Rattus norvegicus: one gene and its partners. The protein of the gene in region 1 purifies or fractionates together with the protein of each later gene. This does not show direct contact. Links are inferred from orthologs where the notes say so. Each region holds a gene or a part of one and is shown in the gene's direction. Other genes may lie near its edges. The genes, in order: Vgll4, Irf2bpl and Tead4.

Region 1 (3,643 bases):
ATTGAGCAGAAAATGAGACAGCATCTTTGTGGGCAGGGGACAGAAATGTCAGGCAACCTGGATGGTGCCCATGCTTTCTTGGCTTTGAGGTAGAGGTGGTGTAGTGATGTGGCCTTCTTCCTGGTTGTCAAGGGATGGGAAGCTAGGATTGGGGGCACAGAGGATATGGTCTGCACCATCATATCTCCACCGATGACACAATCCCTGATCAAAACAGGTGGCCTCTAGGTTGGTCGTGGCTTTGGGAGGGTCTAAAGGCTTAGCTTCTGTTCCCACAGCTATTAGTGCTAGACTGTGGGAAGGCTTGAGACTGTCATCCAGGTTCCCAGCGCAGTGACGACAGCACAGATAGCATCAGGAAGGCTCGCTCTGTCACCTCCAGGATATCCTGTGTGGGAAGCCTGAGGCTGGGTGGGTCCTTCCTTACTCTTCTACCCTGCCAATGTACCATGATTCCTGGGGCTGAGCAAGATGATGCATGAGGCTAGCCCTCCAGTCTGTACCTGGTGAAGGGCAGGACACTTGTTTTACCTCCATGTTTTCTTCAGAATTGTACTTCCTGGGATCTAGTCTATTCTCTCCAAATTCTGTTGATATTTTGTCTTTGGAGCTCAGAGAGTGATTGGAAGCACATGGTGACCATCCCTAGCAGACTCTGGATTGGATGAGTATGGTGGTCTCTCTTTGGCTACCCACCTTTTATTTCTCAGTAGAAATGCCCACCTATGGGCAAGGTTGCTTGTCCCAGGCAGTCCTGTGAGTCCTCTAGGCGCCAGCAGGGCCCATGTTGGTTTTCTGTCCACCAACTTGGTCTTTAAGGAGCTGCAGGATGTATGTGGTTTGGGTCAGCGTCCTGATGGCGCAGGACACTCTGGGCTGTGATTCACTCAAAGGGGGAGGGACATGGAAAACAATGTCTGTCTTTAGGCTCCAGGAACCAGGAAAATGAGCTGGAAACAAAGTGATGTGTAATTTTACTAAAATTAACCAGCGCATTCCCAGGCTTGCCCTGTGTTTCATGGTATTCTGTGTGATGTATGCTCAGTGCCAGTTGACTGATTTCCTAGGCATAGTCCTGGAAGCCCCTCTTGGTACCACCCAATTCTGTTCTCTCTATGCATCTCATCATTGAAGTTGGTGCTTGGCCATGTGAAAATGCTGTGGGAATCAAAGGTGGGAGGTGACAAGGACTGGTGGCCTTGTGGTCAAGGAGACAAGTGATGTTAGCCTGCCTGAGTCTTCTTGCCGTCTGTTGGCTGTCTTCCCCAGACCCTCAGCCCTCCTTCTGTTGGGTTCTTCTGTACCCATTGCCTGCCACAGGGTCTCCTGGGGATCATGGTCGTCCCTGGGATTTCCTGTCTGCGCTAGTGTCTGCTGCTTGAGCTCCTGTGAGTGAACCGTGTGAAGGATGCGGATGCAGCTCTGGTTCCCCATGAGTCTTCCCACCCCCAGTTCTGCACTCTGATGTCTTCTTTTCTCTGTGCATGGTCTGCAGCTCAGGGCAGGCAGATTTCCTCTCCCCAATGGTTTCAGTGCTAGTGTAGGACAGGCAGAGATGACCAACAGTGGTGTGGCTTCTGCCCTGAGGGTTGCACTAGAATTCAGGGCCACTACACATTCAAGGAAGCACAATATGGCTGTAGTCTCCCTGAGGATGGTTTGCAGCAAGAGCCAGCGGTGAGCATGGAAAGGCATCTGGAACAGCCGATGGAAGAGGTGTTGACTGCTGATATGTGTGTGTGTGGTGAGAGCTGTCTCTGTAAGGTCAGATTTGCTTAATAAGAAGATGGCTTTGAGATGAACGAAGGGAAGCCACGGAATAACGCCACTACAGAGTGGGCCGGTCAGTGTACGGCAGGAGAGTTTTATGGGAGACCACCAGAGGAAAAAGGAATACTAGGTACCCAGGATTTGCTGTGTCATTTCTTACAATTGAAAGTTAATTGGCCACTAATTAAAGGTATGGCTGTCACATTTGTGGTGTGTGTGTGACATTTGGTGGGGGGCAGGCATGGCTGCTTTTTGCTCACAGCTAGAGTGCACATGACCTGCTTCCCTGGTGGCAGAGAACAAACGGGCCACGCAGGGGCTCAGAGAATAACCTGAAATTTCCAAAAGTCTTGGGACTCATCTCCCATTTTCCTTTCAATTTTAAAGTTGAACAGGTTTGCTCTGAAGGTTGGTTAAAAAGGGACAGAGCCCCAGGGGCTCTAGAATCAGTGGGTGGAGGGAGGAACACCTTGTGTCAGCTGGGCCTTGTGGGTTCTCATGCCATAGTTGTACTGATGCTCTCTCCAGACCCGTGTAGAGGCAGCATTGAGCAGCTGGCCTGCAGTCCATGGGGCATCTCCCAAATGTGCAGGCACTCACAGCTCACGGGAGCTGCTGTCTCCTGCAGTGTCTGCTGCTCTGGTTTCTGGGTACAAGTGCTGGCCACTGGGAGCAGACACCACTGTGGTCCCACTGCAGAACTGGCGTATAGGATTGCACAATTTCTTTGGGTCAGCAGCATTCCCGTCTTCCTCAGTGACCAACTGTGCCCAAACTGACCATGAAATAGATCTTATATGTAGGCAGGCGACACTGCTAAGTAACATGTCTGCCAGTAGGAAACAAGGGAGGCCATGAAGTCAACTTCAGTCCAAAGGTGCCTCTCCTATACTCAAGGCCTGGTTCCACAACTCACCTGTTGGTCCTGCCCTTAGCATTAGCATAGGAATGTCATGGAGCCATCTGGGGGCTCCTCACCAGGGCCCTGTTTGCCAGTCATCCCACTCTGAGCATGGCCCTGTTTTGCAGGAATAAGACTGTCAACGGAGACTGCCGCAGAGATCCCCGGGAACGGAGCCGCAGTCCCATCGAACGGGCTGCAGCCCCCGCTGTAAGCTTGCATGGTGGCCACCTGTATGCATCCCTCCCCAGCCTCATGGAGCAGCCTCTTGCCCTGACTAAGAACAGCAGTGACACAGGAAGGTCAGCTGTGGAGCGGCAGCAGGTGTGTATGTCAGGCAGCTTGGCCAGTTCTCATCTAGAGGTGGCCACATCAGGCTGGAATGTTGGCGACCAAGAGCTCCATGGAGAACCCCCGAGCAGAAGTCCCAAAGTGAGGGGACCTTGGTAACCTCATTCCTTTGGCTTCGTCTCTGCACAGTGCAGGGTTGGTCCAGATGAGTGCCTGGCCCTGGCACTCTGTTCCTCAGGACTAGTGTAGCAATCCCCTTGAGAGGCCTGTCCTCACCCCATATGATTTCATAAGGCCTAAGTTAAATGTCAGTGGATTGCTTGGGGCTCAGATCCTACAACGTCAGTGGTCATAACCTGGAATAAACACAGGCTATTATTATATTATCATTATTATTATTAATATTACTACTACTACTACTACTAAAGGAAAATAAAATTATTGCTATTTACAAAATAGGCCAGACCTGATAGTATAGGCATATAATCTCAACTACTTGGAAGGCTGAGGCAGGAGGATTACAAGTTTGAGGCAACTTCAGAAGGCCTTGATTTACAAAGAGCAAGAGTGGTAGGGAGAGGTCATGGGCACTTGCCTAGTATGTACAAGGCTTTAGCCCCACACAGAAAGCCCCAGAGACAGCAAAAGGGCACAAAAACTGCAGTGAGAGACTTTAAAAGC
Region 2 (4,379 bases), on another chromosome or scaffold:
AGAGGTCATCAGATCCCATTACAGATGGTTGTGAGCCACCATGGGGTTGCTGGGATTTGAACTCAGGACCTCTGGAAGATCAGTCAGTGCTCTTAACCACTGAGCCATCTCTCCAACCCATGTATCTACATTATAATAAAAATAATTAGCTGAAGCAAAGGAACTACTTTTCCAATGCCCATCTTTGTACCTGTCTTAGAGTAACCTGTCACAAGCACAAGGCACAACCTGAAATCGACAACCCATCAAGCTGACAGAGATGATTCCATTTTGCAGAGGGAAAATATTATATAAGCAGAGCTCAAGGTTACAAAGCCGGTAGCAATAGTGAAGAAATTCCAATCCTGTAGGGCAAACCCAGCCTTATCAAATCCCCTCCCCTCCACCAACCTTCCACAGGGATTATGTTAATTTACGTAAGAAAAAAGCAAACTCAATAAATAGGGAAACCAAGTAACATGCCCCAGCCAGAGCTAAGACCAACTCTATCAGTTTTTACAGTAAGCAATAAGGATGGGCAGTGATCTTAGGAGGGAGAAGAAATCATGACCTCCCAGAGTGCACCGGGACAGTGTGGAATTAAATCACAACACACAGAAGGAACTTTGAAAACTGTGCTTTATTTGTTTACGATTCTGAGGATAGTGTTCTGAGCCTGGGTCATCCTGAACAAGCGCTCCCTCGATGAGCTATGTCCCAAACTCTAGCACACAGTGTTATTAAATGCCCCTCCCCGCCTTTATGAAACCCAGAAAACCACTCACCTGTTTGACCAATTCCTCACTCCCCCTTCCCTGCCCTCCTCTGCAGCTGTATTCAGAAGACCTCCGAGTGATCCGAGCTTCTTTAGACATTCAGTCAAAATATTTTATAAAGTTCGGCCAGGGAGAGGGGTGGCTCATTTAGTGATAGTCTCACAACTCCTATTCCATTCTTAGGCTGGGTCGCAAAAGCAAATCTGAAAGGTAATTTCTTGAAGATGGGAGAAATGCTAATTCTGCAGGTGTTTGGGCACCAATGGTGGCAAGGAATGTTAACATTAACGGGGGAGGGAGCTCTCGTCGCAGATTAAATAGGTAATACCCTTATATGAAATTCAAAGTGAAACTCGTCAAACAGGGCATTTAATTTTACTGCCTGGGGGTTTGGTGGGGTGGGGAACGGGAATCGGAAACAACACTCGTGGCTCTTAAATGTTTTGTTACTTGGGAAAGCCAGGCAGGAAAAGGAAAGGTCATCGCCTGTTTCATCCCGCCTCCTCGCCCGGAACCCCCCCTCCCCGGCACCCAAACCCTGGACTTGCAGCTTTAGCTCCCCGGGCCTCAGCTGTGGTACACACACAGCCGAGGGGGGAGGGGAGGGAGGGTGGAGGCGCGGAGGAGGGGCCGACAGGGAGGAATCTGGGCATGCTGCCGCGCATGCGCCTTTCGCAAGCAACAAGTGGGCTCCACAGACAGAGGAAGTGTAAAGGGGGGGCTGGGGGACTGGTGCAGAGCATGGTGGTGACGTCAGCGCTCCGCCCGGGCGGCATCCCGCGCGGCCAAGCCGGGGACAGCGCGAGCCGCAGCCGGAGCAGGAGCGCTGAGACGCGCCTCCGGAACGTAGAGTAACAATCACAACCCCACATTCCAGGCGAGCGCGAGCGGGAAGGGATGCGACCCGGGTGGAGGCGCCGAGCGAGCGCCCTGCAGCCAACGTGAGCGCCGCCAGCCTCTGTGGCCGGAGAGGTGGTCAGGCCAGGGGGTGGTGGGAGCCTGCGTGCGTGCGCTCCTCTCCTCTGCTCTCGTGTGTCTTGGAAACGGTGGCCGCAGCTGCTCTCTCCGGCGTGCAAACCCAGGCGCCGCCAGCGCAACGGCCGTCGCTGCGGAAGGGAAACGCTCCTCTTTTGGCAGCCACCTCCTCCCCCGGCCCTCCCGGGGAATCAGCGGCTTCAGCAAGATTGGACCTGGGCACCGGGTGGCAAAACCTTCTAACCCTCTCCCCGGGGCGCCTGGCGTAGAGAAGACTCAGATCGTAGGGAGGACCCCCTTCGCGTTCCACGCTTCAATCACTCCGGGGAGGGGGCCAAGAGGCCACTGGCGGTCGGCCCCGGACACCCTAGCCCCCTCCCCCCAGGCCCGGAGCTCGCAGCCCTGATCCGCCGCACCAGGAAGAAGGCACCCGGTGCTCTGCTCTGGACAAGACAGCCGCAGTAGGAGGTGGGGGCGAGGAGCGTGCGGAACCCGTCGGTCGCCTGGGCGGTGGAGCCCCCGCCGAGAGGCACTACTGCGCCGGCAGTGGAGACTCGCGCTCCCTCCAGCCCCTGGGGCAGAACTTTCTCGCCCCCCTCCTCTCCCCTCCCCCGCAGCCGGACTCCTTCCCCAGCCAGCTAGTCCTCCCGAAGGAGAAAGCGCCGCGGAGACAGCCCGGGCGGGGGCCTACCTTCCCCGAGGCTGGCATCATGTCGGCGGCGCAGGTGTCCTCGTCCCGGAGACAGTCTTGCTACCTGTGCGACCTGCCTCGCATGCCCTGGGCCATGATCTGGGACTTCTCCGAACCCGTATGCCGTGGTTGCGTCAATTACGAAGGCGCCGACCGCATAGAATTCGTGATCGAGACAGCACGCCAGCTGAAGCGGGCGCACGGTTGCTTCCAAGACGGCCGCTCCCCCGGGCCGCCGCCGCCAGTCGGGGTCAAGACAGTGGCCTTGTCCGCCAAGGAAGCGGCAGCAGCAGCTGCCGCCGCTCAGCAACAGCAGCAGCAACAACAACAGCAGCAGCAGCAGCAGCAGCAGCCACAGCAGCTCAACCACGTCGATGGCTCTACCAAGCCTGCAGTGTTGCCCGCCCCGTCCGGTCTGGAGCGCTATGGCCTGAGCGCAGCGGCCGCCGCGGCTGCTGCCGCCGCCGCCGCGGTTGAACAACGCAGCCGTTTCGAGTACCCGCCTCCCCCGGTGAGTCTGGGGAGCAGCAGCCACGCCGCCCGGCTGCCCAACGGCCTGGGAGGTCCCAACGGCTTCCCCAAGCCGGCACCAGAGGAGGGTCCCCCGGAGCTGAACCGCCAGAGCCCCAACTCATCCTCAGCGGCAACATCGGTGGCTTCTCGGCGTGGGACTCATAGTGGGCTGGTGACCGGGCTGCCCAACCCGGGTGGTGGCGGGGGACCCCAGCTCACCGTGCCCCCCAACCTATTGCCGCAGACGCTGCTTAATGGCCCGGCCAGCGCCGCGGTACTGCCTCCGCCCCATGGGCTGGGGGGAAGCCGAGGGCCCCCGACTCCAGCACCTCCGGGTGCTCCTGGGGGGCCCGCCTGTCTCGGGGGTCCCCCGGGTGTGTCGGCCACTGTATCCTCTGCTCCGTCATCGACCTCGTCGACAGTGGCAGAGGTGGGCGTGGGTGCTGCTGGTAAGAGGCCTGGATCGGTGTCGAGCACAGACCAGGAGCGTGAGCTAAAGGAAAAGCAGCGCAACGCTGAGGCCTTGGCCGAGCTGAGCGAGAGCCTGCGCAACCGCGCGGAGGAGTGGGCTAACAAGCCCAAGATGGTCCGTGACACGCTGCTCACGCTGGCTGGCTGCACGCCCTACGAGGTGCGCTTCAAGAAGGACCATTCGCTGTTGGGTCGTGTCTTTGCCTTCGACGCGGTCTCTAAGCCCGGCATGGACTACGAGCTGAAGCTGTTCATTGAGTATCCCACGGGCTCCGGCAATGTGTACTCCAGCGCGTCTGGGGTGGCCAAACAGATGTACCAGGATTGCATGAAGGACTTTGGCCGGGGTCTGTCCTCTGGCTTCAAATACCTGGAGTACGAGAAAAAGCATGGCTCTGGCGACTGGCGCCTTCTTGGGGACCTACTGCCCGAAGCTGTGCGCTTCTTCAAGGAGGGCGTGCCCGGCGCGGACATGCTGCCCCAGCCCTACCTAGATGCCAGTTGTCCCATGCTACCCACGGCGCTGGTGAGTCTCAGCCGCGCCCCCAGCGCACCTCCAGGAACTGGAGCCTTGCCACCCGCGGCGCCCACGGGCCGGGGTGCAGCAGCCAGCCTGCGCAAAAGGAAGGCATCCCCGGAGCCTCCAGACTCAGCTGAAAGCGCACTGAAGCTCGGTGAGGAGCAGCAGAGGCAGCAGTGGATGGCAAACCAGAGCGAGGCGCTGAAGCTCACTATGTCCGCGGGGGGCTTTGCGGCGCCGGGACACGCAGCAGGGGGACCGCCTCCACCCCCTCCACCTCTGGGACCTCATTCCAATCGGACCACCCCGCCCGAGTCAGCCCCCCAGAACGGTCCGTCCCCCATGGCCGCGCTCATGTCAGTAGCAGACACTTTGGGCACAGCGCATTCGCCCAAGGATGGCAGTTCAGTGCACTCCACCACTGCATCTGCTAGGCGAAACAGCAGCAGCCCGG
Region 3 (3,643 bases), about 14 Mb from region 1:
AACTCAGATACAAAGCCTGGGAGAGTCGACAGGGGAGGGTGCTGGAAACCAATGCCTGCTAAGGTCTAAGGCTGTCAGAGCTTCTCTACAGCTCTTCCCAGAGCCTGATGCCTTCTTTCTCCTTTCTCCTGCAGTGTGAAACCTTTCTCTCAAAACACCTACGCTGTCCAGCCTCCGCTGCCTCTGCCAGGTAGGTAGATTCCCTATGTCACACCCTCTGCCTCCTGCCTCAGGGCCCAGGTCCCCAATACCCCAGTCCTGTTCCTATCACTGCTAGATGTCATGCTGTCACGTGTTCAGATCATGCATCCCAGTTTTCTGGCTCTACCACGTTTCTTGCCTCTAGCTGGCATGCTGCGGCCATGCCTCATGGGTGTCCCGTGGTGTTCCGGGGTGACGCCAGATGCTTGCCTGTTGTGCACAGGGCTGGCTGGGACACAGAACTGGAAGGAGGTGCTCGTGTGCCCAGGTCACTCTCTTAGGGCACATGTGCTGCTAGCTCTTCGGGCTTTCCCCTTGGAATGCTACCTACTGCTTCTCAGTTGGGAGCTGTGGGGCACTGGATTCTGAGCCTAACCCTTCCCTAGCACAGGAGACGCTGATGCCTGGAGTGTACATTGATACCTAAGCAGCTTGCTGGTTTGTGCCCTTCCCCAGGCTTCAGCCCTTACCTTCTCAGGAGGTTTCCTCACCCTTTCCACACTGCAGTCCAGGCCACGGTTTTCAGCCTTCCTGGAAGGGTGACCAGCTGTGCCACTCTGGTTGTGGCCCCTCAGGCTTTCCTGGCACTCGTGGTGCCCACTCACTGCTTCCTTCACCCCTATACGGAGCATCTCTGAGTTGGGTCCAGTCCTCATATCCCTGTCCTCTTTCCTGTTCTCTCTCCTCTGTCCATGTTGATGCAGTCTGCACTCAGATCCACCTAACTCTTGCCCAGATTACTGCAGTCGCCTCTTCACTGGTCCCCGTGATTCCCAAAGCATCTCTCGACATGCTATTTCTGGCCTTAAGATGCTTCCCGGCCCCATCGTTCCTTAACGGTGAGCTCTGAGCTCTGCAGTAGATCTGCTGGACTCCTGAGACTCAGCTTACTCTGCTCCCTGGTCCTGTCCACTGTGCTCCCTGCTCTGCCTCTGGGCTGTGGCTAGACTGCTCCTCCTGGGCCTTGGATCCTCTCACCTGTCGCCACCCAGGTTAGGCGCCCACTGCTTGCCCAGCCAGGGCTCTGTGGACCTCTGTCTAACAGAAGTGTTCATCACTCCCATTTCTGCTTGTACTCGGACACATGTATCTGAGTATCCTTGTGGGATCTTCCTTCTTTTGTTTACACTGTGCTGTGCCCACTGCTTCTGCCTAGGGTGCTAGAGGTCATCAGACTCCCAGAAGGAGAGCGTGGGTCATGAATCTACTGTGTCTCCCTCTGTGCCACCCTTCCGTCACAATGAAGGAATGAAAATCTGCCCAGCAATGGCAGGCTTGCTTGGAGTGCTAACAGCATCAAAACCACAGCTCCCATCCTAAATGGAATAAAGGATGGTTTATGCTGGAGCCGTTATGAGAGACCATGGCCTGGGAACACAGATTTAGGTTACCCCAAATTCCATGTTCCAACGTGGAAACGGGTTCACAGGGTTTTAGATTTTTTTTACTGAACAAAGAAAGTCATGAATCAAGACAACCTTGAACTACTCTGGTGGATCCACCAGCGTATGCAGGTACAACAAGATTCAGGGAGATATTCTATAGGTCTAAAATGCTCTGGGCTGACACTCTTAGCTCTCGGAATGGCAGAAACTAGTGCTCTGCTAAGTTAATAACTTCTGAGAGGTTTCTAATTACTATCATGTGGTGTTAGTTCAGATACAGAGCGGGGTAAGGAATGGCTGTTCAAGAAGACCACAACTAGCCCTGAATAAAGTCATTAGCCTCTGAGACGTGAAATTCCCGTCTCTCCACTGTTCTGACGCCCCAGTTGGCCTGTCCGTCTGTGAAGACACAGAAACTCCCTCCAGGAGTTTTTTGTTCCCAGCCAGACACAGCTGCTTTTCAGGAAATTTTTTGGTTCGAAGTGCTTGCTCCAGGCAGGGTTCCATTCCTCGTATTACCAGGGGGAAAAATTTGCAAAGCCGTCCGTTTCTCAGCCAAAGTTTAACTCAGCCAGTGGCTTTCCTTGACTTGGGAATAGAATCCATCCTGTTCCCCAGCAACCCTGCCCCACTACAGAGCCTTATTTCCCACAATCCAAAAAGCTGTTTAAAGGGTGGCTTTCCAGATTCCCTCAGCTGGCTCCCAGGCCTCCACATTTGCCTTTGCTGGTTCCCAGCTTGGAGCACCCCCCCTCCCCCATCTCGACCCTCATCCCTCCCATCCCCCACTGGCCCCTACTCCCCACTGTCTCTCTTTCAGCTCTGTAGACCAGGCTGGCTTTGAACTCACAGAGATCTGCCTGCCTCTGCCTCCTGAGGGCTGGGATCAAAGGTGCGGGCTACCACTGCCCTGCTACCTCACACCTTCTTTAAGCCTCATCTTCCTGATTGGTTGGCCTCAGGGGCATCGAGAAGTCTTCTGTGGTGCTGGGGGCACACTTCATCAACACTAGCCTAGATCTGCATTCATTTCTTAGAAACCAATGCTCTCCAGGAAATGGATCCCGCTTCCAGGGCCTCTGAGTTACTGTGCTGTTTGCTTCAGCTGGCTGTCTTCCTACCTGGACTAGAAATCACCCTAGGGCAAGAATCCTGCCTGCCCTAACTGCTTTCAGGCAGCCTGGGCTGTTGAGAATCTGTCAGCCTTGAGCATGGGCCTGGTCCACTGATCTGGATCAAGCACAGGCTCTGCCCTGCCACTGATAATACAAGCAGGGAGAACAAGGAGGGGCAGGCTCCATGTGTTACTCTCCCTTCATGTAGGCTTTGAGTCTCCTGTAGGACCCACCCCATCACCCTCTGCACCGCCAGCTCCTCCATGGCAAGGCCGCAGCATAGCCAGCTCCAAGCTCTGGATGTTGGAGTTCTCCGCTTTCCTGGAGCGCCAGCAAGATCCTGACACAGTAAGTCCCCACCATGTCCAACTGTCAAACTCCCAAGAGAGACCATCTTAATCCCAGGGGTACTGTCACCATTGTGACGCCCTGGTCTTGCAGGCTCAGAATAAGTCACCAATTCCATAGGCCTTGTCCTTAAAGAAAGGCCTAGAATCCTGCAGCTTCTGTCTCTCTGCTGCTATGTATATGCCCCTGTCAATGGAGACCCTGCCCACATAGTAGGTCCCCTAATACACACCTTATTAAATGAATTCTCAACCCTGGAAGTTCTCCCCCCACGGAAGACCTCACCTTCCACCCTCCCTACCTCCTCTGGCTTCCTTCCCTTTCTTTCCCCTCTCCCTTAGGTTTTAATAGAGTCCTCGTTCTTTCTTCTCCCCTCACTGTCCTGTGTGTCATTACCTTCCCCCACCCCCCACTTCTTTACTCCGTTCTTTCCCTTGCATTCTGTATATCTCGACCTCAAGCCTTCCTGGCTTCTGTTCTCTCAGGCTAATCCCCCATCTCTTATTTCTCCTCTTATTCTAGTGGCCTTTCCTCCCAACCCCGCCCCTCCCCCACCCTCCACTATTAGCTCTGAGGGGCACAGGGGAAGCTAGG

What was found.
Region 2: the proteins of Vgll4 (region 1) and Irf2bpl purify together in Homo sapiens (affinity purification with mass spectrometry; 3 studies listed by BioGRID and IntAct, counting the BioPlex papers as one, with this or other methods). This does not show direct contact. The link is inferred for Rattus norvegicus from reciprocal best matches to the Homo sapiens genes VGLL4 and IRF2BPL.
Region 3: the proteins of Vgll4 (region 1) and Tead4 purify together in Homo sapiens (co-immunoprecipitation; 5 studies listed by BioGRID and IntAct, counting the BioPlex papers as one, with this or other methods). This does not show direct contact. The link is inferred for Rattus norvegicus from reciprocal best matches to the Homo sapiens genes VGLL4 and TEAD4.

What each region holds. Positions count from the first base shown.
Region 1 is NC_086022.1:149,601,529-149,605,171, reverse strand, and holds part of Vgll4 (transcription cofactor vestigial-like protein 4), read left to right. Parts: intron 1-2,799; coding exon 2,800-2,995; intron 2,996-3,643. UniProt on the Homo sapiens protein: May act as a specific coactivator for the mammalian TEFs.
Region 2 is NC_086024.1:112,259,433-112,263,811, reverse strand, and holds the start of Irf2bpl (probable E3 ubiquitin-protein ligase IRF2BPL), read left to right. Parts: upstream 1-1,547; 5' UTR 1,548-2,440; coding exon 2,441-4,379. UniProt on the Homo sapiens protein: Probable E3 ubiquitin protein ligase involved in the proteasome-mediated ubiquitin-dependent degradation of target proteins. Through the degradation of CTNNB1, functions downstream of FOXF2 to negatively regulate the Wnt signaling pathway.
Region 3 is NC_086022.1:163,199,313-163,202,955, reverse strand, and holds part of Tead4 (TEA domain transcription factor 4), read left to right. Parts: intron 1-134; coding exon 135-190; intron 191-2,909; coding exon 2,910-3,049; intron 3,050-3,643. UniProt on the Homo sapiens protein: Transcription factor which plays a key role in the Hippo signaling pathway, a pathway involved in organ size control and tumor suppression by restricting proliferation and promoting apoptosis.